Linked DNA regions of Drosophila melanogaster. The protein of the gene in region 1 interacts with the protein of each later gene in a pairwise test. Each region holds a gene or a part of one and is shown on either strand. Other genes may lie near its edges.

Region 1 (3,851 bases):
CTTACAAATATGAAGACAAAAAAACGTACAAAGACGAACATCGCAGGACGTACAAAGACGAGCGAAAATCGTACAAGGAAGCCAAATCTAACAAAGAGGAGGTGGATCGAGAAAAGAAGTATGTGCGGAGTGGTAGCTCCTCTGTATCTAAACGCGAGGAACGTGAGCGTCGTCGTTCGCCGAGTCCCAGAGGCAGAAGCCCATCTAAGTCGAAGCGGGAAGACCGTGACCAAAAGCGTTCGCAAAGTCCCCGAAGCACCAGAAGAACAAAGAGTAGTTCAGACGAGGCAGACGATACGGGAGAGTCCACCGAGAGCGACTCCGACTCTGCATATGAACGCAGGAAGCACAAGAAGAAATCATCCAGCCACAAGTCAAGAAAACACTCAAAGAAGTCCAAGAACAAGTCGAGAAAGGCGGACAACGACTCCAGCTTAGAGAGCGATGACAGCCTCGGTGAAAACCATCGTCGTCACCACAGCAAGCACAAAAAGAAGACCAAGAGGAGCAAGCATGTCAGGTCCCGCACGCGATCAAGGTCAAGAGACCGTCAGTGATTGATCTATTTAGTTGAAATCTTTATTTAAATATAGTTCATTAGACGCTTAAGTTCCTTTTTTTATCTTACTTGGGATTATCATAAATTTCAATTAACTCACAAAATAATCACAAAAATGCCTTGTCTTTTGTTGCGCGTTTTTTTCTCTCTCCGTACGCCTCGTTTCGAGAATACTTCTGTCTTACATGTTACAAACTTATAGTAGGAGATGTGATGGGGCCAGAACCACGGATTTGCTAGTTTTCCGAGTTTTTTTTTTCTGTATGCGCTGCTCTTATCTTTTAAGATATTTATAGTTTCAAATTCAATGCGCCTAATGTGTGATTTAGTGATGCGATGTGTGCATAATGGCAAGTAGATGACTTAGGCATGTTTTATATTTTTGGTCAAATGGTGATGAGTTTATCTGGTTGCTTTCCTTTACTGCAGCTTCCTTTTGCCGCACTGGATCTTCTCGTTAATAATCTTCGAGGCCCTTTGGGTGATGGCCTTAAAAATGTCCTTGTTCTGTAGTCCTGGCCACATGAGGATGAGTAGGGTGGCCAAGTACATAAGCAGTAGATTGTTAATGATGGCTCCAATCCAGGCCATAGCCAAAAGACCCAAACTCATGACGATTACAAACTGGAATCAAAACGAATAAATGTGAGATGAAATAATAATAGAACCCGAAGTTTTTATTTACACTTGAGCTTGCAGAAGAAGATCTACTGCACATACTAGGCCCTGAAACTGCTTCTCTGTTTTCATATACATATACACACACGGTCTCTACCGCATCTACTCACCACTGTGGACTTCCGCTCGTTGAAGAGGTACTCGTACCAGACCACCAGGCTGCCCTTGACGGCGCACACCTGGCCGCACACGTCCTCGAACTTGGCCTCCTGGTCGCCATCCCAGTTGACTCCGCCAAAGATCAGGCGCGACACCATGGGGAATGCGTAGTTCAGCAAAATGCTAATGACACCGAGCAGCGACAGCAGGGTAATCAGCGACAAGTCCAGGTACCACAGCACCAGGTACAGGCAGCTGATGACGCCAAACACCACTCCGGCGTAGTACTGCTTCTCCCAGGTTAGCACGCCGTACGCTCCCACGATGGCTGTCCGGAAAGGCTCCAAGTCGTGCTTTAATTTGTTAAGTGCTCGTTTCTGGAAAATGCCGGAAAATGAGGAATCATTATGATATTAACTAATGGGGCTTCAATGGCGACGCCGTTTTCCGGCCGGAAAGCTTTCGGCAGTTCCACCCTTCGCTCACCTGGTCAACCTGCGATGCTGCCATGCTGGCTTTTCTTTGTTTCCTAGCGGTGCGCGTTCAATTCCGAGAAATCTATTTGATGCCCAAAGGTGTTGCTTTCGGTTTGAGCGAAAAATCAATTTTCTTGGGTGTTTTTTAAGTCGCCAAAGTCGCAGTGTGACCGTTGATCGACGTTTTGAAATGACTGATTCAGGGGTTGTTTCACTCAAACAGCGATTGCACTTTCAATCGGAACTTATCGAATTTTTCCCTTTACAACTCTGTTTTAAAAGTTTGTATTAAAAATCTTGTATTGATTTGGCTAAAATCTGATGCTAAATTCTAATGCCACCTGACATTTGGGCTTACATTTTTGTTTAAAATCTTGACAGCATCCTATCATAAAATATTGATTTACTATATCATGATTTTTATAAGCAGAACTAAAAGCCCATAAATGGCTTAATAAAATAAATACATAAATCAAAAATTAAATTGCCGTACTATTCAATTCGAAACTACAAAAATGGAAAGCAAAGCATCATTTTGGCTTTTGCTAGTTAATCAAGCAAATCAACAGCGGCTTACTTAGATAATGAACTCAAAGCCACCACATCTTGTATTATATGCAGATAAAATGTTGTAAATATAGATCTTAAATTCTTATATCAATGGCACGGAATAGCTTTAGTTTATTGCTAAAAATTTACTTCAAAAGAAATTTGTACTTAACTATCATGAACTTTAACGAAGCTACAAAAAAATATATATATATACATATATACGTTTGGACAAAATGAAGAGTTTCCATCTGTTTCCATCTCGAGGAAATTCAAATTGATGGTTATACCACGGGTAATTGAACTGAAATCTTTGATTGCTTCGGTACAATACAATTGTGTAATTGTTGGGTGAATGGGAGGAGGGTTCATACAATAGTTCATTCTGTTGATCAAATAAATTCTTTTGTTTAAACAAGTGATTGCATTTTGACCTAATATATGGACAGCGTCGTGGGACTGAAGATACCGGCGGAAATGTGTCCTTTCGGACAGCCTTGCAACTTATTGCCGGATTTCCCAATAGAGCTGATGGCATTTTCCGACTTTTCCGCTTTAACACATTTATTACCAACATAAATTCCCAGTGAAACCTTAGGTTAGAGCCGTTTTTATTAAAAGTAGACAGAGATGGGATGAGAAATACATTGAAATAAAAGCAAGTCCGATTTCGATTATTTACTCATAAATCAAAGTATAATCTACGATTATAAAAATTAGGCTCTTTATCTATATTCGACTCCAAATAATCAGTAATTTCAGTCGCATTCAATATTTAATTTGAATGATAGACAAAAATTAATCGTGTTAGGAGGTAGTCTCTACATATATCTAATGGATGATGGATGGTTATGTTCAGGTGTTTTTCTTCGAAATACTGCACATCTTGTAAGTTGCCATTCGTGTTTGGATTTTGTCATTTTTGTGTTAATATTTCGTGGTGGATTTGTTGTTGAGACCGTTTTTAACAGTTTTTGGTTAATTATATAAATTCAATTTATATTATAATGAGATGAATGCATCTTCGCTTGCATGATCCCATTTGTTATTTATGTTATTGTTCACGCATAGCCGAGCGAAATGTCCGATATTATGCGTAACTAATGAGATCACTATTGTTTTCGTCGCTATCTATATAGGTTTCAGTGTCTAGAAGCGTCGGTGTCCCCATGAATCAATGTGTCCGTGTTGGTTTCCGTCGCTATTATCTGGACCTCCAGGTCCAGCCATTGTTGAATTGTTGCTGTTGTTCCCAAATACTTCAAAAGGGGAATCAAAGTGTTCGAATCCAGAGTTGCTGCCTCCGAATCCCTCCTGCTGATCGAGGATCATGTTGAGTTTCTTGGCCTGCATTAGCAAATCGTTCTCCTGCTGACGGGCTCGCATATCCTCCTCATGGCGAAGTAATTGGTTTTGATAACGATGCATGTATTCCTCTTCCCGCTTTCGAATCTCCTCGGCTTGTTTCTCACGCATCTCCCACTCCAGTT
Region 2 (4,816 bases), on another chromosome or scaffold:
GAAGCAGGGCGGAAAATCGGAAGGAAAGCAGCCAGCCACCTGACACGGGCTTCGGTTGCCCGGAAAATCGGAATCAAGCGAATGGAAGCTTGGCAGGATCGAAAAAATTCATGAATAAGACAAAAAAATTCATGAATAGAAAAAAGGAAGCAAACAAAAAAATTAAATATTCTTCTACGTTCAGTTTCAGACAACTTTAACATTATACATACATGGAATTCAATAGCCCTAGCTGTTCATAACTTTTGTTTACTCTTCAAGTGTCCAAGAATCCATGTACATGAATATATTTAAATAAAGCATTTTAAAGGAAGTATTTATAAAATAAATGAATGAATTATAATAAGTTGAAAGCAGCAGAAGAGGACAGAAGAGGCGAAGAGTCAGCACACACTTCGAGAGTTGAAACAAATGGTTTCGAAATCGGTCACTATCTAAAACGATACTTACTTAATTGTAATATTAAGAAAGCATTAAGCAGGGGTTATGTACTAACAGAGCCCCAGATTTCTCAGCAAACAGAACCAGAAACAGAGAGCTAGAGAGAGAGAGAGAGATCTCAGCTAGTCGATGGATTGGACCAATTCAAGGGTCAAAGGTCGCAGGACTCGGCAGAGGAGGAGTGGGGGACACCGATTAACTCACCGTCATGTTGTGCTCGACCAGCTTCTCGCTGGAACATATCATGTAGACGAGATAGGCGCGTATTAGCTCTCCAGTGGTCTTGCTCTTGAAAGCAGCAATCGGATCATTAAAGCTCACGTCCAGGGGATCCCTCTGCGGCGAGCCAGCGGGCGAGGGGTTCTTTTCCTGGGACGACTCCTGCTTCATCGATCGCTTCACCGTCTCGCTGGAGACCACCTCCGGTTGGACCAGAGTGGAGGCCTGCAGCGGCCGGTCGCCGCTGTGCAGGAAGCGCGCTCCATTGACTCCTCTCGTGGACTCCGATGCTGCTCCTTCTCCGGCGATGCTGGTGCTCCCGCTGCCGCGCTGATGGAAACTCCGGCAGGCGGCGACGGCCACGGAATTGCTCGACTTGCTGCTATTACGGCCGTAGACCAAACTGATGGCTGTTCGTTGGGCGCTCAGCGAACGGAGTAGAGCCATTACAAGGGATTCTGCGGTTTATTTACGCTTTCTGCTCTTCGGCTTTTGAGACGGTTATTGAAACGCACTCCAATCTCGGTTGTTGCTGCAAAAAGAAAACAATGGAAAGCAGAGGTAATTTCACTATTATCTCTACAAATCACTACGAATCTGAGGGAAGACAGTGGCGTAACGAAGAGATTACTAAAGGTGGTTATCTCGTTTTCAACTCGATTACAATAACGTTTTAAAAAGTGGAAATGTGGTACATATATAACAAAATTATTACGACTGTTTCAAAATATGCATTGATTTTCAATAAGATCATATAGAATTGATTTAATTGTAATTGGATGATATCTAATTAATATAAAAATAATAAACAAATGTATAATAAAATTCAATTTATAAAAATATTAAAATCAGTGTACATATTATTATTGCAACTTTTTGCCTAATTGTGTTTTTTGCCCCCCCACAAACCCCACGCCAACGCCAATGATCACAGCTGATTTTGTCGGAGAGCTTTTCGCTCTCCCTCTTTCGCTCGCTCCGAATGTTATACAACAAATGCGAAAAACGTGAGGCGGCGAGGGAGAGCGAAGCCGAAAAAAACAGCACAACACAATCACACGTACGCAAGTACACCTTCGAAATGTTCAATTAAAAAAGTCAATTTCTGGGCAGAAATCTATCTTTCGCTATTATGTGTCTTTTGGGTTTTCTTCTTACTTCGTTCTTATTATTTATTCTATTACGCTTTGAGCGTTGTATACGCCGCAAAAGCACGAAACCAAATGCGACGAAGACGCGTGAAAATGGGGCGAGTTGTTAAGCGACGGCAAATTCAACGAAGCGAAACGAGGAAGGACCCGAGGGCGAGAAAATCCTTTTCGCCGCTTCGCTCCCGTTTATGTAACTGTAAATGTAACCGAGATTGTACCGTAATTGTAACTACGACTGTGTGACGTCACAGGCATGCCAGCCCCGTTTGCTTCTGATTTTGATTTTGATTTGGAATTTGTTTTGATTTAATTGAAATGCGCCGAAAGCACACACTAATTGGTGTTAATTGCGGCTCTCCTTGATTCTCCCCAATTTTCGTTCTCAGTTTTCCACCCATTAACCCCTTTTCCCTTTTTCATTTTATTTATTAATTAGCAGCCCGCTAAATAATCGCCAGACGGGAGGCTGCAATCAATCGAAAAAACTTGGCGGGTTTCATTGCACAGATTTCATTACACTTCATTATGGGCTATATCAAGTTCTGTCTCGCTCTGGCCGCCTTGGTTAAAGGGAAACAGGGAGCTGCCGTACTTAAATTGCGAATTCATCTGAATGGTTTTTTTTTTTTTGTTTTTTTTTCTTCATTTTTCTTATTTGTTGCTATGCGGCGAATTGTACCTATTATATAACACTGCTTACTGCTCTCTACCTCGCTTTGTAGAGATCCTTTTATGATACGAATACAACGCAGCCACTCACATGTACACTGCAAAATTTCGCTTGGGTTTGTGGGTTTCCTCTATTTGCTCGATATAAATTTTGCTTTAACGGTTGTTTTGTCACTTCAAAAAAAACAAACTACGATACATAACCAGCAACGACCCAAAAACAATAATAAGGGTAAACAATACAATTTTGTAGAATTTGTAGAATTGCCAAATATAGTTTTTCGGAAAAACTCGTGTTTGTTTGACAAACTTCTCACAGCAGCCTGCGAGAAAAGTAGAAAAGTTCCCGTTTCTGTCAGCGCATTTGCTCACCTCACAAAAGACACACAAGTACAAGTACAATTATAATTATTTTTCGGTTTTTTCGAGTCAATGTTGTTCTTTTCGAGGGTTTTTGGTTTTTGCTGCTGCAACAGAGAGCGTGAGCACGCGCAAGGGTCTGAATTCGCGAATAAACTGAAACACATGAAGCGAAATTAAGGCCAACACGGCGAAAGCTCGTCCAAAAAAGCTTGAGAGAAATTGTTGGACCAGTCGGTGAGGGGCAGAAAGGGGATGGGCCACCCCCAGCAGCTGTTTGGGCTGCACGTGAGCGAAAAAAAGAAACCCGATCGAAAATTAATCGCCATCTTGTCAACTCTTATTACCCAATAAAAATCGGCACGCTTATCTAGGCCCCTGGCGGTTGGCCGGGAATCTTCGGTGCTCTTATCTTATCAATGGACTCCCACACCAGCGTCCAACAAAAACGAACCATTCCTTCTATTCATCTCTCTCCCTGTCTCTTTCTTGACAACCGGCGTCTTGCAACACTGGCCTCGCAAACAGGCTTGCTTTACACCCAGATCACTGGAGAAATATATCGATACGAAATATACGCTCGCAAAATTTGAAATTTAGTTTCAGGTACGAAAATTATTCAAAATGTTTCTCTGTGTAAAGAACGCTTATCGTGGACTCAAGAAAGTATCAAACAGATTTATTTTAATTGCACTATTTACGCAAATATAAGGCCACCAAATGAATATAAGTTTTCTAAATCTTTCTAATCGGACCCTCCCAAGCCAAATATTTCCTTTTGCTGTGTGCCGAAAGAAGGGATTTTAGAAAAGTTTGAATTATTGTTAGTTACAAAATTGAGTATCCGAACTATTTGTTACTTTCAGCTCGCAATATAAATATAATATAAATATCGATAGTTATCGCCGTCTCACAAATCTACACACCAGCGATCTCTAAAAATGTCCTTTGGGTTTGTTTTAAGCGATTTTTTCGGTTACAAATTTCAAACATATTACTTCGTATAAAATCTTTTAAACTGATTAAAATTAAAAACAAAGCGATTCGGCTTGTGACACTAACAAAAAAAAACCTTTTACGTCTCAATTTACTTTACTTTAAAATTGTTTATAGAAAAAAGGTAAGAAAGTTAAGAAACATTTATGGCATCAAAGAAATCATGTTAACGTAAAAAAAAACTACAAGAACTATATGCACTCCATATTTTTTAATATACACAATGTATGCGTACATAGATACCAAATTGTTCCCGTATACTGATTACTTACTGGCGTTTCATAGATAAATATTGCAAAATTGGCTCTTCAAAATGAAAATTCCAAGTTTCCATTTTAAAATGAATATATTTTTGTTTGCAAATTGTTTGCGTTTCGACAAATATAGCAATAAGTTACGACTACATATTAGAAATAATAATAATTAACATTTAATGAGCGACCGCTGCTGTTGATTTTGCTGCTTAGCGAACGCGGCCCGAAAAAGGAGAAACTTAACAAGAAAAAAACAGAACAAGTTATTTAAATACCAAATATATACATAGATATATGCGTGTGAAACTGACTCGGGTCTCCTCCTACCGCCGTCATAACAAACAATACATAATTCGCTATCGCCGCGACTCTCTTCTCGCATTCTCTTCGGCTGGCTTGATTTTCTGTTATTACATAATATTATTGACTAAATTGTAGATCAACGAATGTCTGTTTTTCCATCTCCATTGGGCACCACCAGCAAATAGCTTTAAGCATCGTAAGTATCGAAAATGGGTGCTTAACTTGACCGCAAGACTATCATAAGGGCGACAAATTCAGTTTAAGGTTTTCGATTGATGCGACAATGTTAAAACAATTGAATATTAATGCACAGTTGTGCGGATATGAACTGAATATTTTGGATATGTGTGCAACATAGCCCGAAAAACATGTAAAACCTATCTATATATGTATGTAAATAAAATATAAAGTATTATTCCTCAG

What was found. The genes of interacting proteins can lie anywhere in the genome.
Region 2: the proteins of Arl6IP1 (region 1) and slgA interact in a two-hybrid assay, tested with the Drosophila melanogaster proteins (one large-scale study listed by BioGRID).

The regions. Positions count from the first base shown.
Region 1 is NT_033777.3:16,641,880-16,645,730, reverse strand, and holds Arl6IP1 (ADP-ribosylation factor-like 6 interacting protein 1), read right to left. Parts: upstream 2,127-3,851; 5' UTR 1,847-2,126; coding exon 1,823-1,846; intron 1,714-1,822; coding exon 1,348-1,713; intron 1,184-1,347; coding exon 980-1,183; 3' UTR 560-979; downstream 1-559. Other genes in the region: CG10324 (uncharacterized protein), read left to right, coding at 1-557; nonA-l (nonA-like), read right to left, coding at 3,511-3,851.
Region 2 is NC_004354.4:21,372,496-21,377,311, reverse strand, and holds the start of slgA (sluggish A), read right to left. Parts: upstream 3,001-4,816; 5' UTR 2,572-3,000; exon of another isoform or gene 2,491-2,571; intron 1,891-2,490; exon of another isoform or gene 1,819-1,890; intron 1,203-1,818; exon of another isoform or gene 1,193-1,202; 5' UTR 1,108-1,192; coding exon 646-1,107; intron 1-645. UniProt on the Drosophila melanogaster protein: Converts proline to delta-1-pyrroline-5-carboxylate. Involved in the conversion of proline to glutamate, which functions as a transmitter at neuromuscular junctions. Glutamate deficiency could possibly account for reduced motor activity.